Oryctolagus cuniculus: one gene and its partners. The protein of the gene in region 3 interacts with the protein of the main gene of each other region in a pairwise test. Links are inferred from orthologs where the notes say so. Each region holds a gene or a part of one and is shown on either strand. Other genes may lie near its edges.

Region 1 (3,500 bases), on a different chromosome or scaffold from region 3:
GGGGGGCTTCCCACCCCAGAGCCGAGGGCCTGCAGATGGGGAGCCAGCCCGACTCAGCCCCCGCCCCGGGACAGGCTACTCAGGGGTGCCCTTTGGCCCGTGGGGCCGGGGGAGCCGCCCCGGGCACGGCGGCCCTGCCTCCCGCTCTCCACCGGCAGCCTCCTGTGCCGCGACCTTGCTTTTAATGCACAAGTATCCACAACGTGCCCGGGAGAGGAGGCGCCTCCCATCACTCTCCGGGGGCTGCTCACTCAGAGCAGGGGATCCCGCGACCTGGGGGCGGGGAGCAGCAGCGGGGGTTGGGGGGCCCTGGGGCAGGCCCAGCCTGGCGGTGCGCGCACTCCCGGGCACTGCTGTCCTTACTGAGCCTGGGGCCCCGCCTTGGGGGAAGAGGGGGCAGCACCCTGTGGCCCCAGCCGGGGGTCCCCACTCACCTGCGCTTCACACGCATCCAGTCCTTGACGGGCAGGTCCGGGAGCCCCATCCACTGGCCGTGGCTCAGGGTCACCATGGAGCCTTCGATGGACTGCAGGCGAGAGGAGCCCTTGGCCCTGCACTCTGTAGCCCAAGGCCAGCCTGGGCTGCAGGGCATGGGGCGGGAGAAGGGGTGGGGGGTGCAGGAGCTGGACCCAGGGCAGGCGGCGTGGCCCCCTACTCACGTGCCAGGCCCCCCCGGGGGGGTTGCGGCCCAGGACCACGTGGGGGACGGCTCGGTGCTTCTCCCGCTTCCAGGTCAGGACGGACTCCACGTCCCCCCCGAAGTCCGTGTCTGGGCGCAGGAGGGCGTCCAACAGCAGGGCCACGGGGCTCTCGCTGCGGCCTTCCAGGCCTTCAGACAGGTAGTCCAGGTCCTGGGGGAGGGGCGCAGGTGAGTGGGCCGCGGGGAGGGCTGAGCCGGCCCTGGAGCCAGTGGCCTGTCCTGCAGCCAGCCCCACTGCGAGGGCGCGGTCAGGCGTGGGGATGCCGTCGCTGCCGCAGAGGGCCTGCCCAGCAGGCGCCTCGACCACGCAGACCCCAGCAGCACCACCCAGAGCTGCGTCCTCGGCCCCGCTCAGAAGAGCGAGGGCGCCAGGGGCAGGGGATGGGGGTCTCATCACGGGCACCGCGCACACTGGGTCCAGCAGCGCCACCTAGTGGGGACAGCCAGAAGCGTGTCCCCTGGGGAGCAGAGCTGCCGGCCGTGGCGTGCACACGTGTGTGACGAGGAGCCCTGGTTCCCGGTGCTTCCTCGTGTTTCCCTGCACACGTCGGGGCGGGGGGAGGCTCCCACAGTGGGGCATCCTCCGCGGAGCTCTGGCCCACCTGGTCCAGGATGGAGACCCCCGGAGCCTCGGCCAGCTTCCTCTGCAGCAGGGGGTGCGGGTGGACGGCGTCCGGCCTCACGTAGGGCGTGTAGCCGGAGAGCAGGTAGGACAGGCAGATGCCCGAGGGGCCATTGCCTGCAGAGAGAGGGCAGCGCTGAGACCCCGGCCGGGCTCGGCCATGACCTGGCTTACTCCTTGTTCGTGAAGGTCAAGCTAAGGAGACGCGTCCTTTGCTAAGCTCGTGGCCAGTCGCTGCTTCTAATGCCCGAGAGAGCAGTGAGCAGCGGGGGCTTCTCTGGCCGGGTGTCAGGCTGCACGGCCGTGCTGCTCCCCCTTCAGCCTTGGGGCAAGCGGCACAGAGAGGTTAATCGGCCCGCCCACGGTCACACAGCTGAAGAGATTTGAATCCAGGACAAGGCAGAGACCGATGGGACGGTGGACATGACCTCACGGATGGCCATGTGCCCGAGGGTGCCGAGCCCTGGGGAGGGGGGGACGCTGCCCCTGGGGGCGTTCACATCCCCCCATCACCCAGGCCCCGCCTGGCATCTTGTTCCCCTCACACCCCCTCTTCCCTCCTCCTGTGCAGAGTCTGACCCCGCTCACATCCACCCGTTCCTGACTCACTAAACCAGCCACATCACGTGTGTGCCGGAGGGCATCCGCCCACATCTTAGACCTGGGGACGGGACCCTGGCCCGCTGCTGTGTCCCTCACGCGGTCCCCGCCCCGGGCCGCCCCCTGCGTTCTGGGACGGATTCTCTGGAACTTCTTAACAAGCAGTTTTTAGGGCTTGCGATTTAAGTCTTAGCTATTTCCAATTATTTGCAAGGTGGCCCAGAGAGCTCCCGCCCTCTGGCTCAGTCCCCAGATGCCCACAACAGGCAGGGCTGGGCCAGCAGCCAGGAGCTCCCGTCCAGGTCTCCACGTGGGTGGCAGCGGCCCAGGCGCTGGAACCGGGGCCGGCTGGGGCGCCCGCTCCAGGAGCTGGGATTGGAACCCGGGCACCCTGACCACTGCTGTGCACACGCCCACCCTGGGCCATTCAGTGCTGGCCACGCGGTCATTAAAGGGGACAGCTGCCCAGAAGCCAGGCCTGGCCTCGCGCAGCGCTGACCTGGCCCTCGGGGCACAGCACGGCCCTCCCCAGCCCGGGCGGCCACTCACCGATGATGACCACCGGGAGGGGCTCGGGGCTGCTGAGGCGGTCCTTCCGGGAGGAGCTCATGGCTGGGGCTGGTGGGAGACTCGAGGCTGGCAGCCGACCTGGGGGGCAGAGGGGAGAGAGGGCCCACCCGGGTCAGGTCCGTTTCCCAGCCCCGGGACGGCGTCCTGGGGGCCCGGGGTCAAGTCCATAGCACGCTTCGTTCCTCCCGAACAGGCCGGTTTCCCGCTCCCCAGTTCCCAGGGCGCCCCCAGCCCGGCGTCCGGGCAGCCTCCTGAGCCTTCCCAGGGAAACCCCGGCCCAGCCCCCGGGAACTTCCGCGGCCGCCCCGCCCCACCCCGGCCACGCCCCCGAGCCCCTGCGCGAAGCCCCGTGACTCCGGTCCCGCCCCCCAAGCCCCTGCGCGAAGCCCCGTGACCCCTGCCCCGGCCCCGCCTCCCTGCCCCGGCCCCGCCCCCCAAGCCCTGGGCGAAGCCCCGTGACCCCTGCCCCGGCCCGCTCCCGCCCCCACGGCCCCGCCCCCCAAGCCCCTGCGCAAAGCCCCGTGACCCCTGCCCCGGCCCCGCCTCCCTGCCCCTCGGCCCCGCCCCCCAAGCCCCTGCGCGAAGCCCCGTGACCCCTGCCCCGGCCCGCTCCTGCCCCCACGGCCCCGCCCCCGAGTCCCGGCGCGAAGCCCCGTGGCTCCGCCCCCTGCCCCGACCCGCGGCCCCGCCCCCGAGCCCATGCGCGAAGCCCCGTGACCCCCGCCCCGCGGCCCCGCCCCCGCGGCCCCGCCCTGCCCGAGTCCCTCGCGCGCAGCCCCGTGAATCTGCGGCCATCCTGGCCCCGCCCCGCCCCGAGTCCCTCGCGCGCAGCCCCGTGACTCGGCGGCTGTCCCTGGCCCCGCCCCCGCGGACCCGCCCCGCCCCTCCCGGGTCTCTGCGCGCGGCCCCGCGACCCTGGCCCCCGCCTCGCGGCCCCGCCGAGCCCCCGCGGCCCCGCGCGCGGCCCCGGGGCTCTGCGGCCACCGCTGGCCGCGGCCACTCCCTGCG
Region 2 (4,148 bases), on a different chromosome or scaffold from region 3:
CAGGCAGGCAGGCAGGAGCACATCACGATGAAGGCTGGGAACCTGAGGAGTCATCTTTGATTCCTCCCACCTGGCGGTACAGCTTCTCCTATTTCTCATTCAACACATCTCCCACCACCACCCGCCCTGGATCCGACTCACACAGCACCCCCACCCCCGCCTAGCAGTCCCTCCCTGGCCTCTCTCCGCCGCCCGTGCACTCTGCACACCTCTACTCCACTGCCTGTGCCTCTGCTCCCAGCTGCAGGCAGGCAAGGCGGAGGGGCGCTCTCAGAGGCGGGGCGTGTGCCAGGGCTGCTGCTCACTAGCCGCCCCCTCCTCAGCAAGTCGTTTCTTCACCTCCCAAGTGACGACCTTAGCGATAACACGCTCACGGGTGGCTGTGAAGTAACGAAACGACACACTGAGCACAGTGCCCGGCTCCCAGCAAGCTTCGGTGAGAGCCCATCTGTTGCTCCGTGCCCAAGGCCTGCCTCCTCTGGAGCCCTCCTGAACCACTCTGGCTGGCCTACCCTGCAGGGCCGGAGCCAGCTGCAGTCCTGCAGGGCAGCACTTGATTGCTCTCTGCATGTGTGGCGGTTTTATCAGCTCCCTAAGCCCGAGGCCAGTCCACTTCCTGTTAATCACTCCCTCCTGGATGCTGCCACCTCTATGCACTCACTCCTCCTATGTTCGCCGGCTTTTCTCCTATACCCAGTGGACACCAGTCTCCTCAAGGCCTCCCGGGCATATATACCATCTGTATGCACCTGCACCCAGGAGGCAGGCACTCAGCCAGTGCCTGATGGATCACAAACCGGGACCCCAGCAGCAGCGGCAGGCACCATGCTGTATGAATCTTGCCAAGAGAATGTTATGGAAACAGCAAAGGCTAAACCAACCCAAAGACATCAAACTCTGCACAAATAGGCCAGGAAGGAGGCCGCACTCATTTGGCCAGAAAATGCCTGTTGTCTTCCAACTCTTTCCCTCCCCAGCCGATCAGGGCAGGAGGCAGCTGCTCCTTTCTGTTAAGTCCTCTTGTTCTCTACTACTGCAGAGAGTGGAGAAAGGAACCAAGTTCTGGTTCAAATACACCTGGGCTTTGAGCCTCACCTCTGCTACTCCTCTGGGGCCAAACTCAAGTGGAGTTCATGCCTCTATCTGTGGGGTCCCTGATGAGATCACTTATAACCCTATGGTCAATAGATGCGAGTGTAGGCACTCAGCAAATGCTAGCCCTTGGGGCTGGCGCTGTGGTGTAGAAGATAAAGCTGCTGCCTGCAGTGCTGGCATCCCATATGGGCGCCAGTTCAAGCCCCGGCTGCTCCTCTTCCAATCCAGCTCCCTGCTATGACCTGGGAAAGCAGTAGAAGGTGGCCCAAGTCCTTGGGCCCCTGCACCTGCATGGGAGACTCGGAAGAAGCTCCAGGCTTCTGGCTTTGGATCGGCCCAGCTCTGGCCACTGGGGCATTCTGGGGAGTGAACCAGCGTATGGAACACTTCTCTCTATCTCTCCCTCTGTCTCTCTGTAACTTTCTGCCTTTCAAATAAATTAAAAAAAAATTTTTTTTTAAAGTGCTGTCCTTAAGTGAAATGGGAGGCAGGACCACAGAAGAGATAGTCCAATGTGCTGAGTAACAAGGAGACACTGACATCTTGTAGATCTCAGCAAGGGGTGATGTCGGGGTGGGGTGGGGTCCACCATCATAGCTCAGGACGGTCCCCATCTCCCACACAGCCACAGTGCTTCCAAGGACCTGCTCTCTCCAGCCTCCCTCATCAAGGGCTGAGCTGAGAGGCAGCTTCAGTCACATACGAACCTCCTGATGCCCGTGGACAGGATGGCGGTGGAGCTCTTGAGTTCCTCGTAGAGATCAGAGCCATTGATGGGGAAAGCCGAGAATTGAGCCAGCAACACCCGCCGCAGGGCGACCAGGGCCTGCCAAGGTGGGGGGGGGGGGGTGTCAGCTCAGGCTCCAGAGCAGCTCAGACTGGCTGGCCACTGAGAGGGACAACCGGGAACTCAACCATCCCTGGGCCTCACCAGCTCCCCTCGTCCATCTCGGGCTAGCCTCTGCTCCCTTGCCCTGGGCAGGGGCGAGGAAGCCCACCCAGGCTCGCAGCGCGGAGCTCCTCCTGAGCTCACCTTGTAAGACAAGCCAGACTTCTGGGCCACCTCCTCCAGGTCTGCGGAGGCCAGGTCCACCACTGAAAACAAAACACCTGTAGCTGACGGGCAGCGAGGGGGCCAGGGGCTTCCCAAGGGCCGGTGCGACACCGCTCCCCAGAGTTTGGCGTCCCCGCCCCCCGCCCCATGCCCGAGGCTGCGCGGAAAGGCGCGTGTGGCGGGCGAGGGGTGGCCCCGCGGCTTCCCGGCACGAACGCACGCCCGCCGGCCCGCCGTCACCTGTCCTGATCCCGCGGCTCCGCAGAAGCTGGACCATCTCCGGGCTGAGGCCTGGGCACAGGCCGACCCTGAGCACGCCCATGCTCCCCGCCAGCGCGGGACAGAGCGTCCCTGCAGAGCCCCCTTCAGACGCCCCTCGCACGCCTCGGTGCAGCGGGTCCTGACGCACTGCTGGCGGGAGGAAGGGGCTAGGAGCCGCGCCGAGCGGCGGGTAGCAGGAGGGGGCTGACCACCCGCCCCTCCGGCGCCCAGGGCCCGCCCGCCTCCGGCCGCTTCCGGGTTCCAGGCTCGCGCGCGCGGCGTGGGCCAGGCCCGCAGCGCCACCTGCTGGCCACACAGGGCGAGCCGCCGCAGCCTCGCGCCCGCGGGTCCTACGGGCCCCGCGATCCGCGATCCGTGAGCCGCCGCCTGGCGCCGCGCCAGCCCGATCCGGTTCCTGCGCGCCCACCCCGCGCCCACGGCCGCCCTAGGACAAAAATGTTAAACTCCTGGACAATCCTCTACCCTCTGGGAGCTGATGAGTCGGGGAGAGACAGGCAATGAAAAGGACTCAAAGCAATCTGACCGGTACGGATCCTAGGATAAGCACGCAGGGGGCACCTACTTCTCTGTCTCGAAACCTTGGAGCATATGGAACACGCGCACACGCACGTGCGATTCGGTGAAGCGTGAAAATGACTTTACCGAGCGCTCTGACAAACCTAGAGGGAGGCGCTATTCGTATCCCTGTTCCGAGCGGCCTCCCCTGGGAGCTGTGAGCACCCGGGAGCCATCACCCGACCCAGTGGGGTTTGCCGCCTACAGTTTGAGGACAGAGAGCAGCAGCCTCCGCAGCCAGCGTCGCCCGCACTCAGAGACTCTGCCCGGAACCGCCAGCCTCCCCAGCCCCAGGCACCTCCCTCCCCGCCCAGGCGCCTTTTTCATCCTCTATCTCCTTGCAGGGCAGCGCAGAGAGGCACAGGTGTCGAGTGTTCCGAGGTCTTCAGAGGCAGGCGTCTGGGGACACTATGGGGATGATGGCTCCGATGACGGGGTCCCTGCCGCTCATGGGAGAAACCCAGATGGAGTTCTGAGCTCCTGGCCTCGGCCTGGCCCAGCCCTGGCTGTTGTGGGCATTGGTAGAGCCTGAGGGATGCTGTGGTTTGTGCCTGGTTCCACCCTACCTGTGGCTCTGGCCCTTTGGCCCAGCCAGCACCCCAGGGAGCCTCAAACCCAGGGCCAGGCTGGCCCCTGATTGTTACAGCTGATGATGATTGTGAAGTCAGCCCATTGCACCCCCTCCGGTGTGTCTGCTGGCCCCGCAGTTTCTCTCTGCTTCCTGCCAGCTCGGTGGTCCTGCATGGTGACGGCTGTGGTCCCAAACCAACCAGATGGCATCAAACGCACTCTGTAAAGTGGGAGATGGGGAGGAGGCCGTGCTGAAGAAGGAAAACCTCAACCTCGTGAGTGCACTCGACCAGCTGCCGAAGCCCTTTCTGAACCCCAAGTCCATGAACCGCACCGTCACTACCAAAGGACTCCCACTTTCCTCAAGAGGCAGCTTGGTTAACTTCTTGGAGGAAGACACCATCAATCTTGTGTAAGACGCGACTCTGGAGCTGGGGGACCGGGAGAGGGCCCAGAGGAAGCCGCACCCTCTCGCCTGTCTCAGGCCAGCCCCCAGGTCCCCTGGAAAGACCACGTGTGTGGGTCGCACCTCTGTGTTCCCGAGCCCAGAGTTGGTCCCTGCAGTACAAGGCTCTCCCACTCCAGGAAGCCT
Region 3 (3,500 bases):
CACAAAATACAAATGAAGGAGTACAGTGCAGTGCTGCATCCTAGATCAGACCATTCTGTAGTAGTTTTTATTTTTTGAGAGTCCTATTTTCTGAGGTGCAATTGGCTTTATTAGATTAGGCCTTCTCTGACATTTTCACAAAGTTTTCGTTCACTATAAAAATTGACAAGATAAATACATTGTTCCAGCTTAGCCCGTGTGTCATGTTCTCTGACCCGTTATTGATGCTACAAGAATGTGCCAGGCCAGGACACCAGAGTGAGGGTGATTCTTCCTTTGAGTTCCTTCAGCATTCGAGCCAAGCAGGCGTGCGTCATTCCTGCTGTGCTCCTGCCGTTGACTGCGAGGAGAATGTCACCGCACCTGAACAAGGCAGCAGGAGGGATGTTTGGTTTCTTAGCTGAAGTTTATGCAGATTGATTTTGGTGGCCTCATTTCTGCTAGATTTGTTTGGTTTTGATTACTTAAGGGTCTCCCCCCCCCTTAGATTCTTTAAGCATGCTAGTCATTCCGCTTGTGTTAAAAGGGGTGCTCAAGGTAGAGCGACCTGCAGTGTAGGGCCGAGAGCACGTGCGATCGATCATCGGGGTGTTTTATGTTAAATGCTGTGCAAGTGTTTTATTTTCTTGCCCACCCTTCCCCTCAAAAGGAAGAGCCCTTATTTCAGATGGGGCCAGTATTGTGTGTCTGAAGCAAAGGACCTGAATGTAAGCTCTCTGTGCAGCAGTTGTCTTTATTACCTGATCCTTCCATCGTTGTACGCTGGTGTGCCTTCCACCACGGATTTGATAAAGAAAGGCTTGTTTCCGCTGTGTTCTTCATACCCTCCCACGATGCAGAAGCCCAGGCTGCCTGCCGCGTTTCTGCGTAGTGCGACATCTTTGCAGTGATACAAGTACCTGGGATAGAACAGAATTGGAGGATATGCACAGTTCAGTGTAACGGCTGGAGACGGAGTATTGTGCCTGTATCCCATTCCTTCTGCTGGCATTTTCTTAAGGCTAAATAACACTGGACAGCTCCCGCCCAAGTGTGTTTCTAGCTCAGCAACCTCTATGCTACAGCTGGCTACAGCAAACATTATGACCATCATATTTTTATTTACCTGAGTATAAATTTTTAATGAAGGCAGAAATCTTTCGAACAAATCGTTAAAATCAAGAAAATGTAGGTGTAATGAATGACTTTGTTAGCGTGTACTTGACCTTCGGAAAGCTCTAGTGCATATCGGGCTCTGCATGTTTGGTAGGTGACTGAGAAGTGTGCAGGCGGAATGTGAGTGGGATTGCACCTTCAGGAAAGCGGAACTGCAGACGCTGAGAAACCAGCTGCTGGAGGGATGGGAGGAGAGCGCACAGCCCTGCGGTGGGTGGGTGGGTGGGTGGGTGGAGGCCTCAGCCAACCAGGGAGGGAGGCTGGGCACATTCTGCTACTCTCCCTGGTCACTGGCTCCCTGCTCGCCAGGACTCCTGTGTCTGCCACATGTGTGCTGTAGTCCATGAACTCCTGAGAGGAACACGTTTTCATGTTGGCAAAAATCAGGATATGACTACTGTTTATAAACTGTACCTTAAAATAACATTGCTTTTTGAAAACCAATAAAAGTCTCTTGTGAATAAGTGAAGTTGCTCGTTACAGTTGTTACCGATCTTGCTAATCAGGGTAATGTGACTTTTTTCACGACGTTGCCAATACTCAGTTGAAGTAAAACCACCTCTGAGGTTTAATGAATACCTTTAAAATGTAGTGCTTTGTATCTGTTGTCCTACATATCATTTATAATAATTCGATAGCTGAAAAACATGAATGTCATTAAATGAGAAAACGACTTACTGTCAAATACCTGCTATTTCACAAGAAACTTTGATGTCAGTTGATGACTTCAGCCTGTAGAAGCCGTGGTGTGTGGGATAGATACCATGTTGTACTTAATAGCTTACTGAGTGCTTGTGCACGGAGCAGGTCCGTGCCTAGCCCCCGACACCAAGGCAATGACATTCCCTGTGGGAGACCCTGTGCCCAGCGTCTGGGATTGGAAAGTCATTAGAAGATGCCTTTCCCAGGTCATGCTCCTAGTCTGCAGACACAACAGGTTCATGGAGTAGGACCTGAAACTGTCCCTGTTTGTCACCCTTGTGACATACCCTCATTGCTCCCTCTGGGCCTCCTTCCTCGTAGTTCCTGGTCCCTGCAGTCGTGCTCCTGAGCAACACCAGAACTGCATCCTCCGTCACTGTTCTGCTACCTGTCACCGACCTTCCCAGGTCACAGCCTCGGAACCATGACCTTACATCCGGGTCAACTCCTCCGCTTAGCTTCTACGTGTTGGGGAGGACATGGGGTACTTCACTTAGTAGCCCCTGGTTCTGTGCGTTTTTCTGCAGATGACACAACTTCCCCTTTTTGTGGCTGAATAATACTCCATTGTGCATACACCATGCATTTTCTAAACCATTCACCCGTCTCTGGGCAGCGAGGTTGATTCGTGTCTGCTGTTGTGAATAGTGCTGCAGTCAGCGTGGGAGTGCAGTATCTCACGTGCCGATGTCATTGTCTTCAGCTACATGTCAGCAGCCAGATGGCTGGAGCCTCCTGCACTGCTTGAAGATTGCGAGTTTGCAGCAGTGTGTCCCAGTTCCCTCTCGTCTGCATACTGCTAGCATTCATAGCTGTTCTAGCTGGGGCGATACGACACCTCATTGTTAGGATGTGCATTTCCCTGCTAATGACCATGCACTTTTTCCTCTATTTGTGGGCCATCTGTGTTTACTTTTTTGAGAACTGTCTTTAGATCCTTTGCCTATTTTTAAATTGCACTTTTTTTGTTAAGTTTTTTGTTCCTTACGTATTCTGGATATTACTCCTTTGTCAGATGAAGAGTTTGCAAATATTCTTTGTCATTCTGTCGGTTGTGTCCTCACAACACTGATTGTTTCCTTTGCTGCGCAGAGCTTCCTCGTTTGATGGAATCCCACTTGTCTGTCTTTGCCTTAATTTTGCCCGAGCATTTGGAATTTTACCTCCAAAAGCATTGCTTATATTGTAGTCTTGAAATACTTTCACCATGTTTTCTTCCAGTAACTTAATACTTTCAGTTCTTTGGTCCATTTTGAGTTGATTTTTATAGTGATTGAGAGGTGGGTTGTGTGCATGTGTCAAGTTTCAGCTCTCTGCATGTGGATATCCAGTTGTCCCAGCACCATTAATAGCAGAGGCTGTCGTTTGTTCTGTCCCATTTGTGTGTGTGTTCTCACGCCAGTACCGTGCTCTCTGGTTCCTGTAGCTCTGTCATCTGTCTTGAAATCAGGCATCGTAATGCTTCCAGTGTTGCTGCTGAAGCTTGCCTTGGCTCTTCAGTCTATTGTTTTTCTGAGAGAATTATAGGGTTTTTTTTCTATGAGGAGTGCTACTGCAAGAGTGAGGATTGCATTTTATCTGTAAAATTGCTTTGCATAACCGACATTTTAAACACTTTTTCCAACCCATGAACAAAGGAGGTT
Region 4 (3,941 bases), on a different chromosome or scaffold from region 3:
CCCAGAGCGCCCGAGGTGCCCCACCCCAGCCCACCCTGCCTGCCTCACCTGGCCGGAACTGCCTGACCAACACCAGACTCCTTCGGGAAGAGTTGAACAGGAGCAGGGTCACGCTGCGGGGGGGGGGGGGGGGGGGCTAGCACAGGAGCAGCCCTCCTGGCTTCCCCGTGCCCAGCGTGCCTCCCACACCCACTCCCGGGCCCCTTGCTCAGATGGGGAGACCGAGCCCACACAGCTCAGGGCTCACGCATCAGGCCAGGACCCGGTCTTCCCTGTGCCAGCTGGCAGGGCGGGGGCGGGCACGCTGCGCAGCTGGGCCAGCACAGCCCACACCCCAGACATGCGGGCGAGGGCACCAGGAGGCGCCCCCAGCTCCCAGAGGCCCCGTCCACTACCGCTGAGCCACCAGGCCTACGACCGAGCCCTCAGGACAGGAAAACTGGAGGCTGAGCGGGGGCGGGGCTCGGAGCCCGCTCCCGAGGCGGGCCAGCGGGCTCTCACCTGTCGTGGGTCTTCATGAAGTCCCAGGACTTCTGGGTGCCGTTCTGAAAGAGACGGGGCGGTGGGGAGGCGGGCTGAGGGCTGCCACCACCGAGGCGGCCCGCCGGGCCCGTCACACCGCTCCCACGAGGGATGTCTGGGGAGGGGCCGCGGCCTGCACTGGTCAAGAGGGCCCGGGGCTCCAGCGCAGGGAGCTCAGGCCGAGCAGAGACCAGGATCCCACGGCAGAGGTGGCTGCTCGCCCTGCGGGGCTCGGAGACCCGACCCCTCCACCCTGGGCAGCCCCTCTTGCCTTCCGTGGTCCTGCTCCCCAGCCTGCACCCTGCCCGGGCTACCAGGAGGGCCTGAGCAGTGCTCAACGAGGGGGCCGGGGCCGGACTCCCCACGGCAGCCGGTCCAACAGGTAGAAGGCAGGGCTCCTGGGGCCAGCATCCACCCTGGGGTCCGCAGCAGACAGTGCCATTCCCCCGGCCCACTCCCACCCAAGAGGGTCTCCGCTGACGGGGCCGGACCGGGGGCCAGCCTGAGGTTGCCCAGCTCCAGGGTCCACTGGGTCCACTGTGCGCCAGCCAAGAGCAGGACCCTGGGGCTCTGTCCGGGACCTGAGATGGACAGAGGTCTGAGCCTCAGAGACAGGAGGCACAGCTGGGGTGACAGCAGAGGGAGGATGCCAAGGGTCAGCCTTCCTGAGGACTTCCTGGAGGAGGTGACGGGAGGGGATGGGAGGCCTGAGCAGTCAGCCCCAGCTGAGCCTGGTTTCCAGTGGAAGGCCGTTGGGCACCACCCGGCAGGCAAGCCCAGGCCTGCCTGACACCAGGGCCGGCTCGGGGAAGGCGTGCCCCTCCAGGCTGCCCCCCCCAGCTGCCTCTCCTAGGTGTCACCCACACAGGTCTGGGGCCCTCGGTCAGGCCCTGAGGGCTGGGGCAGCCAAAGCAGCTCTAGCAAGGCCTGGGTCGGCGGGGCCAGCACCCACCAGCTGGACACCGTCCTGGGGCCTGCAGCGGGCGGGCTGTGCCGCTCCCTGGCCCCCTCTCCCCCAGGGAGGCCTCTCGGAGGGGGCTGGACCTACGCCTGCCAGAGGCTGCCCAGCTCCAGCGGCCACCGTGCGCCAGCCACGGGCAGGACCCTGGCGACAGCACCCTGAGGACGGGCCTGGGGTGGAAACGTGGGCCCGTCCTCCTCAGGGCTGTCTGGCCCCCACCAGGGCCCCCTGGCTGCCCTGCCCTGCCCGCTCCCTCTGCGGCCCTGGCTCCCTGGGCACCCCAGCCCTGTCCCTGCTGGCCTGCACCTGCGCCAGTGCGACCCTGCTGGCCAGCACAGCCCGGGGTGGGGACGGGTGCTCCGGGGGCTGTGCAGCCACAGCAGGCACCCTGTCCCCCACGTCCCCACCAGCCCCTCTACCAGCGCTGCCAACTCGGCAGGGACAGTGGCAGGAGCCTGGATGGGAGGGGGCACTGGAGGCCGGCCTGCACCCAGGGAGGGTCTCCGCGGGGCCTGGAGGAGCCCGGCAGGAGGCGCGGCCCTGGGACGGGTGGGCCGGCCGGCGCGAGGTGGGGGCGCGGTGAGGCCCTGGGAGAGGCGGGAGAAGGCGCCACGACCCAGTGGTCCAGCGGGAATCTTCGGTGAACCTGCTCCGCGCGGTGCCGAGGCCACGTCCTGGGCGGGGGCCGGGCCTCCGGGAGGCGCCCGCCCTGCGAAGCCCCTGGGGAGGAAGCCCACCTTGCCACGCCCCCTGTCCAGCGCCCTCTGTCCACCTCCTCCTCCTTCAAGTCTCGGCGCCGAGCCCTCCGCCTCCGGGGAGCCTCTTCGACCTCCCAGGGCACCTGAGTCCCAGGGCGAAAAAGGGACGTCTGGGCCGGGCAGGGAGGCGGGGGCCCGCGCCAGACGCGGTTCACCTGCCCCGCTAACCTCGCGGGCGGGGCGGGGCCCACGCGCAGAGCCCGCGGTGGGCGGGGCCTCGCGGGCGGGGCGGGGCCCACGCGCAGAGCCCGGGGTGGGCGGGGCCTCGCGGGCGGGGCGGGGCCCACGCGCAGAGCCCGGGGTAGGCGGGGCCTCGCGGGCGGCGCGGGAAGCGCGGGAGCGCGCCGGGGGCCGTGCGGGGCCGGCGGCGGCGCGGGCTCACCTGGCGGTAGTGCAGCGTGAGCGGCTGCAGGTAGGGCGACGCGGTGCAGGGGCCCACGGCTGCTCCCTCGATGCGCTCCATGGCGGCGCGCGGGGCAGGCAGGCCGGGGCCGGCGCAGGAAGGGGCCTCGCCCGCTGGGAACGGCGGGCGCGTTCTCGCGCCCCGCGCATGCCCAGTGCGCCCGGGCGGGGCGGGGCGGGCGCGCGGGCGGCGGCGGCGGCGGCGGCGGCCCCAGGTAGCGCGCCAGGTGTGGCCTGCGAGCAAGGAGCGCGCGGGTCTGGCGGGCCGTGGGGCGTCCTGGTCGGGGAGGGGCTGGGGCGGCTGCGTCGCGCCTGGGGGCCGTTCGGGGGCGGGCAGTCCTCCGAGGCAGGGGCTCCCTGGGGGAGAATGACCGAGGCCGAGGTGGGAGGGTCCTGGCTGCCCGGAGAGGCGTGTGGAGGCCGCACGAAGCCTTTGGAAGCAGGGCGAGGCGCGAGGAGCCGAGAAGGGCTGCGGGCGGGGAGGCTGGGCTGGCCGGGCCGGGCCGGGCCGGGCCGGGCCTCTGCCCCTGTGCCCTGTCGGAGGAGCTGCCACTCTGTGGGGCGGCCCCGCTCCCGGAAGCCCCCACCTGCTGACACCCGGCTGTGGAGGGCCCGCGGGACCTCCCCAGAACGCCGGGGCAGGTGCACGGTGAGATGGGTGCTGAGGCCCGCACCCTTGGCCTGCACCTGCTCCCCGTGTCGCTGGGCTGTGGCTTGGCCGGGGCTGTGCCCTGGGGTCCTGCTCTGCAGTGGGCAGGTGGTCGCGGGCCTGCAGTCGCTGTGGGTGAACAGCTGCGCTGCCCTCGCTTGGCGCCTGCCCTGGGACAGCAGGGCTGACCCCTTAGGTCAGGAGGACGGCCCTGGGCCACCCGAGTCAGGGCAAGAGGTCGTCGCAAGGAGGGACACTGGGAAGCAGTCCGTGGCGCCTTCGTCCAGGACCGGCCGCCGCCCCGCCCGGCCGCCCAGCGTCCCGAGGGCCCAGCCAGGTCCTGCTGTGGGCGTGTGCTGAGGAGCGGCCGAGGCCGGCCCAGGGCTGGGTCCCTGCCCTGCTGTTGGGGGCACTTGTGCTCGGACCCCTTTAAGTGCTGTTTGAATTTGGCGTGATGTATTTCCCCTCCAATGAAATCAATAATAAAAGTTAAGATAGCAAGTTTTCATGTATCTCTTAGAGCGAGGTGCTGCCCGCTGGTTCACTCCGCAGATGCCCGGAGCAGCCAGGAGCCCGGGGCAGACCTCCTGACCGGGGGTTCCCGGCGAGACCAAATGCCCACTCAAGGCGGCACACTTACGGTGCTGCT
Region 5 (3,500 bases), on a different chromosome or scaffold from region 3:
CCAGACACCCCAGCAGGCCCTGCTTCTCTGGCTGTTTGCACCAGCGTAGCGTGCCCCAGACGGAGAGCTGGTGAGTGGCACAAGCCCGGGCGATCCCTCGCTCAGCGCCTCCTTGGCCTGCGGACGGCCGCCCCCTCGCGGTGTCCTGTGCGTGCTCACGCCTGGCGTCTGTCTCAGCTCCCTCCTCTCACACACACCTTTCAGATCGCACGACAGCCCACCGTCATGGCCTCGCTGTCCACTCTGCGTCCTTAGAGGCCCTGTCTTCAAACACAGTCACGTGCTGAGGGGCTTCCGGTTACGGGTTAACAAGCACATTTTGGTGGCGTCACAGCTTGGACAAGACCGAGGACCTGAATCTACAACCCTTGGTGACGGGAGGCCCGAGTACCACACCTGAGAAACTGACCCGACGCTGTGACAAGACCCTGGCCGGCACGCAGCTCCCAGGGTCTGCCCTGCCCTTCGGCCTGGCCTGCTGCAGCCCTCACCGCCAGGCCCTCCCCTCTCTGCCCGCACTTCCTGCTGACCAAGTCCTGCCCCTCTCAATACCTTTCTCCTGCCTCACACTCACGAGCCAGAGCCAAGCTGCACGCGTCTGGGCAAGGCGCTTCACCTCTCGGGTCTGCTTCTTTAACTCGAAGTCTCACACAGACACGAGTTCTTCTCACGACTTCCCACTTACTTTGCAGGAAACCTAGACCACAGGGCCTTGCACACGGATGACTCGACCCAGTTGTACGGCGCAGATCGCACAGTGAGGGCCCAGCAGTACCGGCTGGCCTCTGCACAGAACCCTCTTTATGGGGGCTGCAGAACTCCAAGGGACCCCCCTTCTAAGTGCTCTGCTGGTCAGGGAGTCACATGGTCACACGGTCAGGGGAGACACTGACTCGCTGCACCGCAGTTCACCAGAGGGACTTCGTCCTACAGCAGGGACAGGATCTGCCCGTGAGGAGCGATGGGGCAGGCGGCGAGCGAGCTCGCGACCCTGTGGGAGTGCTCACCCGTAACACCCATGTGGTAGTTGTGGAAGGCGTCGGTAAGGCCGTCACAGAGTATGCTGTCAGCGAGCGCCGTCTCCCCAACCCGCACTCCTGTCCTCAGGTGAACCAAGTGTGGCGCCTGGGAACGAGAAGCAAACGCGGGCTGAGGCGGGGCGGTGATTACTCCTGTCCTGGGTCAGGCCGCCCCGGCCACACAGGCAGCCCATGAGTGCCACCTTCGTCCTGACTACTCTCTGATCCAGCTCCCTGCTAACGCACCTGGGAAAGCAGGAGATGGCCCACGTGCAAGCCACGTGGGAGACCCAGGTGATGCTCCCGGCTTCAGCCTGGCCCAGCCCTGGCCGCTGTGGCCGTTTGGGGAGTGCAGCAGTGGATGAAAGATCCGTCTCTCTCCCTCTGTCACCAAGGATGGCAGCTGACCAGTAAGTGGGAACCTCCGAAGTGTGTAAAGGGGCAGACACCTGGCCTGGCAGTTAAGGTGCCTGCGTCCCACACGGAGGCCTGGGCTTGAATCCTGCCTGGTGCTCCACTCCAACTTCCTGCTAAAGCAGACACTGGCAGACAGCCTATGCTTTTATGTATTTATTTGAGAGGAGTGTCAGAGAGAGAGGGAGAGAGAGAGAGATCTTCCATCCCCTGGTTCATTCTTCAAATGCCCGCAACAGCTGGGGCTGGGTCAGGCCGAAGCCAGAAACCAGGAACCTCATCTGGGTCTCCAATGTGGGTGGCAAGGACTCGAGTACTTGGGTCATCGTCTGCTGCCTCCTGGGCACATTAGCAGGAAGTTGGATTGTAAGCAGAGCTGCGACTTAATCCCAGGAACACGGGAGGCTGGTGCCACAACTCTGGCGCTTCCATTAACTTCCGGAAGCACCCTCCTGTTGGGGCTTTAATATTACACGCTTCATAAGCACAGCTTAAGAAATGTACACTCGTTCCACTCACACGGGTAGGGAGGATTTTTCCTCAATTAGGATTTCCCAACCAACCTGAAGAATGATTAGCACTGAGGTGGGGGTCAAGGTTGAACCCGTGTTGCTTATTCATTAACTGTGTGGCTCCGGCTCTGACGAGCAGGGACAGGACCCGTCAGTGAGGTCACCGGGGCCGTCCCGTCCGAGGCCGTACCTTGCTCATGTTCTCCATGCCGCCTGCCACCACGATGCTGGAGTCCCCTAGGGCTATCGACTGCGCGGCGAGGCACACGGCTTTCAGGCCCGAACCACAGATCATCTGGCAGCTCCAGGCCGGGACGGAGTAGGGGATGCCTGCACCCACACTGGCTTGTCGGACTGGATTCTGCCCGCAACCTGGAAGCAGCAACACAGAGGCCTTAGGCACTGAGTAGAAAGACTTCGGGGTGAGAGGGTACGCAGCGCTGCCAGCCAGGGCCGGAAGCCCACAGGCTGCCCTCGGCAGCTCTTCTCCTCTTGTCCTTAGTCACCACACTGCGGCGCGCTGGTTACCCAACAAGATGCGCAGGGAATCAGAACCCACAAAGGCCTTCCCTGAGGCCGCGGTGGGGACTGGAAACACGGGTTACGCAGAGCAGCAGCGGAAGGGGTGGAGTCAAGAGTTCCAAATATTCTCAGGCACCGCTGTCTGCCGCCAAAGGGTCTTTATGCCACCTCTCAGATTTGCCCGAACCTAGCACTTCTCCTGCTGACTTCCGGACAACTGAGCGTTCCCTTTGGCGTTCTGCTGGCCTGCTGGCTGGAGAGAGCACTGTTTGGATCAAGAGATGGCGTTCCCCAGGGCTACCAGCTGCTAAAAGTCATCTTGATCACAAGGTTATTAATCTGGGATGTACACATGACTGACCACACACACAGCAGGGGTCTGGCGCTGCCTGTGACGCAGGCATACCATCGCAGCATGGGTTCTTTTTTTTTTTTTTTTTTTTTTTTTGACAGGCAGAGTGGACAGTGAGAGAGAGAGACAGAGAGAGAAAGGTCTTCCTTTGCCGCTGGTTCACCCTCCAATGGCCGCCGCTGCAGCCGGCGCACCGCGCTGATCCTGGCAGGAGCCAGGAGCCAGGTGCTTTTTCCTGGTCTCCCATGGGGTGCAGGGCCCAAGCACCTGGGCCATCCTCCACTGCACTCCCTGGCCATAGCAGAGAGCTGGCCTGGAAGAGGGGCAACCGGGACAGAATCCGGCGCCCCAACCGGGACTAGAACCCGGTGTGCCGGCGCCGCAAGGTGGAGGATTAGCCTATTGAGCCACGGCGCCGGCAAGCAGCATGGGTTCTTGTCCCGGCCACGCCACTTCTGATCCAGCCCCGTGCTAATGCACCTGGGAAAGCAGCGGAAGATGGCCCAAGTGCTCGGGCCACTGCACCCACCAAGGAGACCTGGAAGAAGCTCCTGGCTCGGCCCAGTCCTCAGCTTGTGGACTGGCATCGCAGACACAGATCTGGATTCAAGTGCTGGCTCCACTTCCAACTGTGCCCCTGGTAGTTATGTGATGTCTCAAAGTCTCATGCACTCACCTGTG
Region 6 (4,249 bases), on a different chromosome or scaffold from region 3:
TATGCTCTTCTAAATGCCTGTAGAATCTATAATAGTATCTCTTTTTCATTCCTAATATGTGTATAATTCATTTGTTATCTTAATCAATCTTGCAAGCATATTATCATATTTCAAAGGATCATCTTTTGCTTGATCAATTCTATTATTTTCTATTCTATTTATTTGACTCTTCTCTTTCTCATTTCCTTTTGTTAAATCATATTGATGTATTATATTCCGTTCCTTTCCAGTATCTTAACATGTTTGTTTTCTCTTGCAGGATCTAGTCTGGAAACTGGAACCGTGAAGCATTTATCACTAGATCATTTACCATTACAGATGTCTAGAATTTCATTTAAATGGAATATAAAATGTACATTATTTTACAGCTGGATTTTTTCATTCACTGAGACTTTTTTTTCATCCATGTTATCACATGTTGTTTGTAGTTCTTAGGTTTTGCTAATAGTATTCCATTATACAGATATACCATGATTTCTTTATTCATTCATCTTTTGATGGACATTTGAGGTGCTTCCTGGTTTTGGAAAACCAGATAGGGATAAAGCTTCTATGAACAGCAGGATACAAGTCTTTATGTATACTCACTTTTCATTCTCAGTTAAATAACTAGGTATGGAATTTCTGAATCATCTGGAAATCATATTGGATATCAAATATAATTCTTTTTATAAGATTTATTTATTTATTTGAAAAGCAGAGTTACAAAGAGCCATGGGCAGAGAGAGAGAGAAATCTTCCATCCATTGGTTCATTCCCCAAATGGCCACAATGGCAAGAGCTAGGCCAATCCAAGGCCAGGAGCTAGGAGCTTCTTCTGGTTCTCCCACATGGGTGCAGGGGCCCAAGCACTTGGACCATCTTCCACTGCTTTCCTAGGCCATAGCAGAGAGCTGGATTGGAAGTGGAGCAGCCAGGTCTTGAACTAGCACCTATATGGGATGCTGGCACTGCAGGAGGTAGCTTTACCTGCTACGCCACAGTGCTGGCCGCCAATATCAAATATGATTCTTAAGCAAGTGTAGTTAATTTAATTCTTATTGGATTCTGTTAATAATTTAATGCTCAGCTCTACTTTTAAATATTAGGAATCTTGGCCGGCGCCGCGGCTCACTAGGCTAATCCTCCGCCTTGCGGCGCCGGCACACCGGGTTCTAGTCCCGGTCGGGGCGCCAGATTCTGTCCCGGTTGCCCCTCTCTGCTGTGGCCAGGGAGTGCAGTGGAGGATGGTCCAAGTTCTTGGGCCCTGCACCCCATGGGAGACCAGGATAAGTACCTGGCTCCTGCCATCGGATCAGCGCGGTGTGCCGGCTGCAGCGCACCGGCCGCGGCGGCCATTGGAGAGTGAACCAACGGCAAAAAGGAAGACCTTTCTCTCTGTCTCTCTCTCTCTCACTGTCCACTCTGCCGGTCAAAAAATAAAAAAAAAATATATTAGGAATCTTTTTCACTATAACTTCATACATATATTTTTGGGTTGTTAAGATGTGCTACACTTAAGTTTCAGGCCTATGGGCCGGCACTGTGGCCTAGTGGGTAAAGCTGCCACCTGCAGTGCGAGCATCCCATATGGGCACAAGTTCGAGTCCCAGCTGCTCCACTTCTGATCCAGCTCTCTGATACGATCTGCACACAAGTGGGAGACCCAGAAGAAGCTCCTGGCTTACCTAGCTTTGGATCGGCCCAGCTCTGGCCATTGTGACCATTTAGGGAGTGAACCAATGAATGGAACACACCCCCCATCTTTCTCTCTGCCTATGCATCTCCGTAACTCTGCGTTTCTAATAAATACACATCTTTTAAATAAAATTGAGGCCTCAATTCATGGTAGTTAATATGTATTAAGTACTATTAGAGTGTTAACAACATTGTTATTTCTTCATATTATGTCATTTAATCTTCGTAGTAACCCCAAAGAGTCTTCCTATTAGTCTCTTTTTTAGATGAGGTATAAAGTTAGGCAAAACGGCCTTAACTTACCAAAACACAGACACACACACAGAAATAAGATGCAGAGCTAGGATTTGAATTAAGTTGGCTTCCCAAATCGATGTTATTAATTGTATTGCGTTAAGTGTAGAATAAATGGGTAAGCATGTATTTGAAGGTTGAACAAGAAAGAAAAAAAGATACATATGCTCAAAGCATAAACAGCAGTATTCATTTAAATGAGGATTTCCAGCATCAAATTTTGGTCAATATAAACAAATTATTGATTAAAGTGCATAAATTAAAAGCCCAGGAAACAAGACACTAAGGTATACCTTTAAGCTAATTAATTTTGTATATCCAACTAGAATCTGATAGTTGCCAAAATGTGTAATGTTATTTATTCCATAACTCCAAACTCAAAATATCTCTATTTACCTATCTATACACAAACATACACACACACACACATATATACCAAATGTTATTTACATATGCATGTGTTATTTGGGCATCAATTAGAATAGCCTTAGTAAATACTAGTAATACATAATTGATTAAACAACAGAAATGGCACATGCCTATCTTGGTCCTTTCCTGCGGCTATAACAAGATCCCTTAGACTGGGTAATACATAAACAACAGAAATTGGTTTCTCACAATTCTGGAGACTGGAAAGTCCAAGATCACGGTGCCAGCAAATTTAGCATCTGGTGAAGACCTGTTCCGTAGATGGCCCTTCTTGAGGCATCTTCATATTGTGGAAAACTCAGAAGGAATGAACACTGTGTCTGCACATGGAAGAAGTGATAAAAGGGCCAGGCAGCTCTCTGAATCCTCTTTTATAAAGGCATTCATCCTACTAATGCAGGCAGAGCCCTTGTGACTTAATCATCGCCCAAAGGCCCCACCTCTTTATACTTCTGTAATGGGAGATTAAATTTCAACACAAAATTTGAAGGGACACAATCATCCAAACTACAGCAATGTCATATTTTTAAATTTTGTTATACATTTTGCTTCTGTTGCTTGAGCTTCTGTACAATGTGTTCCATTGATGCACAGAAAAAAAATGGCCCAACAGTTGTAACATCTTCACCTTATCTCTCAGCCATTGGCAACACAGATTTATGGAAAATCTACCATGTTACCGTACTAATCATGGTTGAGGGAAAAGGCAATTTTATGCCTTTTCACCAAAGAAAAACTAACAGTTGGTTAACATCAGTTTCTTGACTACAAAAATCACTCGTTTGTTAAGGGAATTGTTTTAGAACTTGATAATAAGACATATTAAAGGAGTTTAAAAAATAAAAAGTTCACCTTCTCAAATATAGTAACTACAATACAACTGCTCTATATAAACTAACGTAAATTAGTTGGGTGCAACACTTTCCAATTTAACTATCACAACTCCTATTGATACAGCAGACTGCCACTGAGATCACTAAAGAGAACAATAAAGAGTAATTTCCAGGGGGAAAATAGCATCTTTGTTAGATGAGTCAAAAACAGTTGGATTTGTTACTGGGAGACCTATCAGACAAATGTTTGAGAAAAGAAAAGTCACACTTCCCACATGAAGCCTTAAAGGGCTACTTACAGAAAGCACAGGGGCGAACATGCTTTGTAAGACAGTAAGACAGGAATATGAACTACTTAATGAACAAAAACCCAGTCTCTGCCCACATAGTTGGCAACTCAGTATTCAGAATATAGAAACATGACAAAAATAGTTTTCTTTATATTTACCCAAGGACAGAATTTCCTCATATTATTCATATCTTATTTTATAAACTGTAGTAGGAGAAAAGCCATGAAAACAATGAACTTGATTAAAAAATACAGCATCGTAGTTTTAATACTGATATTTAGTTATTAAAAACTGCACATATTCTCATAAGTATTAACTGGCTTAAAAATAAACTCTTTATTTCAGACAGATTATAAAAAGGCAAATTTACCACTCACGGAAGCACTGATTTCAGGTTGCAAGAAACCCAGGCAAAAGCTATGTGGGATGCCATTTATAATGTCATGAAAGTGAAATGTAGCTAATGAGCCCTTCACAATGGTTTGCATCATGCTCATTTCTGACTCTGCCTTTGTGGCAACTACTGATCAGAAAAAAAGTCCATCCATTTCATGTAAATCTGGCTGCTCGTTGCTCTAGTACCAGTGTTAGGAAACTCAATTTAAATCAAGCCTAATCACTTCTGCCAGCCACACTGCACTTCCCAACACTCCCCACCCACCCATACATTGTAGCATGACTGTTTCTTGCATCTCTCAGCCTTCTTCCAATTCAACCACACTCTAA
Region 7 (3,950 bases), on a different chromosome or scaffold from region 3:
AAAACAAATTTAATGTTAACAAAAACATTTACCCTGAACTATACGAAGAGCCCAACTTTTCCAACAAATGAAAAGTGACTGACTCATGGCATCCTGGGAAAAGGCCCTGGGCTGGTGCTCCTGCCTTTACCGGGGTCAATGGGCTGAGGCGACACCTGTGACCTCCTGACCACGGGAGCAGGACGCTCCGGGGCCACTGGACGTGATGGCCAGCAGGGAGCCGCCCGCTGCTCTCTGTCTTCAACCACTGCCAGCGTCCCAGTGTCTACGCTGGAGAGCGGGCGTCTGGTGGCTGTGGCACACCTGGGGCCTTTCTGGACCGAGCGTGCTCTGGGCTTGCTTACGTACGTCTTCTAAAGATGATTAAGTGTATTGCAAAACCCAGACTGGACTCAGGAACTCAAAAGGCAACCAGAAACCAGGTGTGCGGCTCCTCCACTTGCCATGGGCGCCTTGGGGGCGTGGCTCCCCTCCCCCGCCTCACTCAGGGCCCTCCAGAGCCTGCCTCTGACCGCTGACCGCTGTCTGTATCCCCAGGTCCAGGGTCCTGACAGGAAGGCTGCACGGAGCCAACAAACTTACAGAAACCGAAAGCAAAAAGCTCTGTCGGGCACCGCCACGGCCTGGAGGCACCAGGGACCGAGTGACAACTCCACAGCGGCTGCTCTGGGCAAGCCGTGCCCACGCCGCCAGGGCCCTCACCAGTGACGGGGTGCTGCTGCCCACCAAGTTCATCTGGTCCCCAAACGTGGCCTGCTTTCAAAACCACTTTCCAGGGCTGGGGTCGTGGCACAGCAGGTCAGCTGTTACCTGCGATGCCGGCTCCCATATCAAAAGCACCGGTTCAAATCCCGGCTGCTCTGCTTCTGATCCAGCTCCCTAGTAACGCGCCCGGGAAGGCAGTGGATGATGGCCAAGTGTCTGGGCCCCTGCCGCCCACCCATGTGGGAGCCCAGGCTGGAGTTCCAGGCGCTGGCTGTGGCCTCCCCCGGCCCTGGCTGTTTTGGCTACTTGGGCAGTGACCTCGAAAACAGATGTCTTCCTCAGCCTTCCAAAAAAATCTTTAAAAACAAACAATAAAACAAAAACAACAACCATTCTCCACCGAAGAACTCTCCCTTGGCTGGCACGGGCGTGAGCCCTCCTTGAGGGCACCGCCTGGCGAGCTCAGTGCCGCCACCGCCACCGTCACCGCCGCGTGCCTGTCAGGCCTCCCGGACACGAGGTCTGGCTGCTGTTGCCCAAGCGCCATTGAGCAAGAGCAGTGCCGCGGCCCACGGAGGGGCAGGCGGGCAGAGGGCACACACGTGACGGGCCCTGCCCAGGCATGCCCTCCGGCCCTCGCCTCTCTGAAGGGCCAGGAACACAGAGGTCTCCTCACCAAGTCTAATACTGAAAGGCAGTGTGGGGGCGGTGCTGTGAGGCAGTCGGCTGGGCCTCCACCTGCAGTGCCAGCCCCCACATGGGCACTGGTTCCAGTCCTGGCTGGTCCACTTCCCATCCAGCTCCCCGCTATGGCCTGGGAGAACCGTGGAAGATGGCCCAAGTGCTCAGGCCCCTGCTCCCAGGTGGGAGACCCGGAGGAAGCACTGGACCGGCTCAGTTCCGGCTCTTGTGGCCACTGGGGACTGAACCAGCAGATGGAAGACCTCTCTCTCTCTCTCTACCTGACACTAAAAAAGAACGAACGAGCGAGAGAATCGGTGTGGGCTGAGCTGGGTGGTCTGGGCCAACTCGGGAGGTGGCCACCCAGGTCCACCTTCTGGACAGAAACCACACTAGTAACACCGGTCGGCCTCAATATTTAATTCTCAAGGATTCTTCGTGACCATATTAATAAATCACATCACGAACGGGAGGGGAAGAGGCCTCGCGCCCATACCTGAACTCCTTGGTGCTGCCCGAGGCGGGCGAGGCCGACAGGCTGCGTGACTTGGCCCGGCCCCGGATGGGGGGGCCGTCGCCCCAGGTCTCATCGCCGTGGCACGCCGAGCAGCGGTAGGCGGCGGAGTCTGGACTTAGCTCCTTGTTTGTGTTCATGTTTTCTTGTTCCGTTTCTGTAGCCGCTAAGCAATAACTTTGGACAGAAAAACACTGATGTCTTATTTAATAAACTAACAAACACAGATACACAAAACAGCGATAAAGCACACACATTAGGGGAAAGCTGCTGATGTCCGATTTACCCAAGTTTTTTGAAAACAGGCTGTCTCCACCCCAAAGAGGACAAAGACCTCAGCCATGAACCTGGGGCTTCTGGAAGGGTCTGGAGCCCTAGAAGCCGAGGAGTGAGAGGAGTGCCGGGGGCGGAGCTGTGGCGCTGCTGGCACACAGCAGCCCCGGGGTCAGTGCCGGGGCAGGACATGGCGCCCTGCACGGCGCCCGTCAGTCCAGGAGAGCCTGCACAGGCTACGTTTAAGTTCAGCACTCAGGAAACGATCACCAAGGCCGACCTACACTGAAGCCAGGGCGGGCCTCAAATTCCAAAAGAGGAGAAGGGAGAGAAGCTCCTCTCTGCCACAACACAGCAGAACCCAGAACCCAGAAACGGGGCCGGCGCTGGGCGCAGTGGGCAAAGCCGCTGCCTGCAGTGCCGGCATCCCATGGGCACCAGTTCCAGTCCCGGCTGCTCCACTTCCCATCCAGCTCTGTGCTGTGGCCTGGGACAGCAGTGGAGGACGGCCCAGGTCCTCGGGCCCCTGCACCCGCGTGGGAGCCCTGGAGGAAGCTCCTGGCTCCAGCCTGGCCCAGCCCTGGCTGTTGTGCTCATGTGGGGAGTGAACCAGCAGATGGGACATCCCCCCCCATAACTCTTTCAAAATAAGTAAATAAATCTTTTAAAAAAATACACACACACACAAGAATAAAAGTGTGACAAAGCCGTGCGGCCCCCACACTCCCACCACAGGGGTTCTGAACTCGCTCCCGACCCTGGCGAGGGCTGACGGCGAACCTCAGAGCCAGTCCACAGAGCACCCGGAAGGTGAGGGCGATGCCGACCCGGAGCCAAAGTCTACTCGCGGTTAACGCCAGGCTCAAAGTCCCGAGAACAAAAGTGGTGAGCTACACGCCCGCCGGCTGTGCCGCAGCGCGGCCTGGGCTCCGTGCCTGAGCTGCGGCAGAGCCCCTGAGGGTCCAGATCCCGGCTCTGGCCCACCCCGCCCGGCCCCAGCTGTTCGGGAGTGAACCAGCAGATGGAAGATCTGTCACTACATCTCTCGAATAAATAAATAAAATCTTGGAGGACAGCACTGTGGCGTAGCAGGTAAAGCCTCCACCTGCAGTGCCGGCATCCCATATGGGCGCCCATAAGAGTCCCGGCTGCTCCACTTCCCATCCAGCTCTCTGCTGTGGCCTGGGAAAGCAGTAGAAGATGGCCCGAGTGCTTGGGCCCCTGCACCCGCGTGGGAGACCTGGAAGAAGCTCCTGGCTCCTGGCTTCAGATCGGCCCAGCTCTGGCTGTTGGAGCGATCTGGGGAGTGAACCAGCAGATGAAAGACCTCTCTCTCTCTCTCTCTCTCTCTCTGCCTCTCCTTCTCTGTGTAACTGTGACTTTCAAATAAATAAATAAATCTAAAAAAAAAAAAATAAAACCTTAAAAGAATCAAAGAGGAACCGTAATGAAGAAACCGTTATGGTGACGGGATGGCTGCCACACACAGGGAACCAGCAAACCGGCCAAGGCACCTGCGGCGGCAGACGCCGGCACACGCCGGCACCGAGGCGGGTAAGAGGGCCTGGGGTCGTGACCCAGGTCCTGGGGTGCGGCCCGAGGCACACAGGGACAGAGTGTCGTGCCGGGGACACAGCGGGAAGAGGCCTGGAAAAGCTGGCCCCGACGCAGGGCCCGGGGCACAGCACGCAGGCAGCCCACGCAGCAGCCCACCACACGACCCACGACGTCACCCCAAAGTCAAGACGGGAGAGGCAAACTCGATACACAAAACCAA

What was found.
Region 1: the proteins of LNX1 (region 3) and OSGIN1 interact in binary tests that used the Homo sapiens proteins (3 or more experiments, as listed by UniProt). The two-hybrid records come from large-scale screens. The link is inferred for Oryctolagus cuniculus from reciprocal best matches to the Homo sapiens genes LNX1 and OSGIN1.
Region 2: the proteins of LNX1 (region 3) and RAD51D interact in binary tests that used the Homo sapiens proteins (3 or more experiments, as listed by UniProt). The two-hybrid records come from large-scale screens. The link is inferred for Oryctolagus cuniculus from reciprocal best matches to the Homo sapiens genes LNX1 and RAD51D.
Region 4: the proteins of LNX1 (region 3) and NUDT14 interact in binary tests that used the Homo sapiens proteins (3 or more experiments, as listed by UniProt). The two-hybrid records come from large-scale screens. The link is inferred for Oryctolagus cuniculus from reciprocal best matches to the Homo sapiens genes LNX1 and NUDT14.
Region 5: the proteins of LNX1 (region 3) and ACAT2 interact in binary tests that used the Homo sapiens proteins (3 or more experiments, as listed by UniProt). The two-hybrid records come from large-scale screens. The link is inferred for Oryctolagus cuniculus from reciprocal best matches to the Homo sapiens genes LNX1 and ACAT2.
Region 6: the proteins of LNX1 (region 3) and melanoma-associated antigen B18 interact in binary tests that used the Homo sapiens proteins (3 or more experiments, as listed by UniProt). The link is inferred for Oryctolagus cuniculus from reciprocal best matches to the Homo sapiens genes LNX1 and MAGEB18.
Region 7: the proteins of LNX1 (region 3) and NADK interact in binary tests that used the Homo sapiens proteins (3 or more experiments, as listed by UniProt). The link is inferred for Oryctolagus cuniculus from reciprocal best matches to the Homo sapiens genes LNX1 and NADK.

Annotation. Positions count from the first base shown.
Region 1 is NC_091449.1:65,745,147-65,748,646, reverse strand, and holds part of OSGIN1 (oxidative stress-induced growth inhibitor 1), read right to left. Parts: intron 2,571-3,500; 5' UTR 2,533-2,570; coding exon 2,472-2,532; intron 1,440-2,471; coding exon 1,303-1,439; intron 852-1,302; coding exon 660-851; intron 527-659; coding exon 435-526; intron 1-434. UniProt on the Homo sapiens protein: Monooxygenase catalytic activity. Involved in regulation of cytokinesis; promotes RHOA activity, probably acting locally at the midbody in late cytokinesis.
Region 2 is NC_091448.1:39,164,444-39,168,591, reverse strand, and holds the start of RAD51D (DNA repair protein RAD51 homolog 4), read right to left. Parts: upstream 2,801-4,148; 5' UTR 2,472-2,800; coding exon 2,390-2,471; intron 2,191-2,389; coding exon 2,129-2,190; intron 1,922-2,128; coding exon 1,803-1,921; intron 1-1,802. Other genes in the region: FNDC8 (fibronectin type III domain-containing protein 8), read left to right, coding at 3,760-3,968. UniProt on the Homo sapiens protein: Involved in the homologous recombination repair (HRR) pathway of double-stranded DNA breaks arising during DNA replication or induced by DNA-damaging agents. Bind to single-stranded DNA (ssDNA) and has DNA-dependent ATPase activity.
Region 3 is NC_091439.1:110,430,600-110,434,099, reverse strand, and holds part of LNX1 (E3 ubiquitin-protein ligase LNX), read right to left. Parts: intron 900-3,500; coding exon 741-899; intron 364-740; coding exon 228-363; 3' UTR 1-227.
Region 4 is NC_091451.1:47,132,777-47,136,717, forward strand, and holds the start of NUDT14 (uridine diphosphate glucose pyrophosphatase NUDT14), read right to left. Parts: upstream 2,801-3,941; 5' UTR 2,705-2,800; coding exon 2,624-2,704; intron 546-2,623; coding exon 502-545; intron 114-501; coding exon 49-113; intron 1-48. UniProt on the Homo sapiens protein: Hydrolyzes UDP-glucose to glucose 1-phosphate and UMP and ADP-ribose to ribose 5-phosphate and AMP. The physiological substrate is probably UDP-glucose. Poor activity on other substrates such as ADP-glucose, CDP-glucose, GDP-glucose and GDP-mannose.
Region 5 is NC_091436.1:8,274,901-8,278,400, forward strand, and holds part of ACAT2 (acetyl-CoA acetyltransferase, cytosolic), read right to left. Parts: intron 2,318-3,500; coding exon 2,136-2,317; intron 1,126-2,135; coding exon 1,008-1,125; intron 1-1,007. UniProt on the Homo sapiens protein: Involved in the biosynthetic pathway of cholesterol.
Region 6 is NC_091453.1:12,178,088-12,182,336, reverse strand, and holds the start of melanoma-associated antigen B18, read right to left. Parts: upstream 2,801-4,249; 5' UTR 2,590-2,800; intron 1-2,589. UniProt on the Homo sapiens protein: May enhance ubiquitin ligase activity of RING-type zinc finger-containing E3 ubiquitin-protein ligases. Proposed to act through recruitment and/or stabilization of the Ubl-conjugating enzyme (E2) at the E3:substrate complex.
Region 7 is NC_091438.1:163,979,411-163,983,360, reverse strand, and holds the start of NADK (NAD kinase), read right to left. Parts: upstream 2,801-3,950; 5' UTR 2,366-2,800; coding exon 2,187-2,365; intron 2,078-2,186; coding exon 1,883-2,077; intron 1-1,882.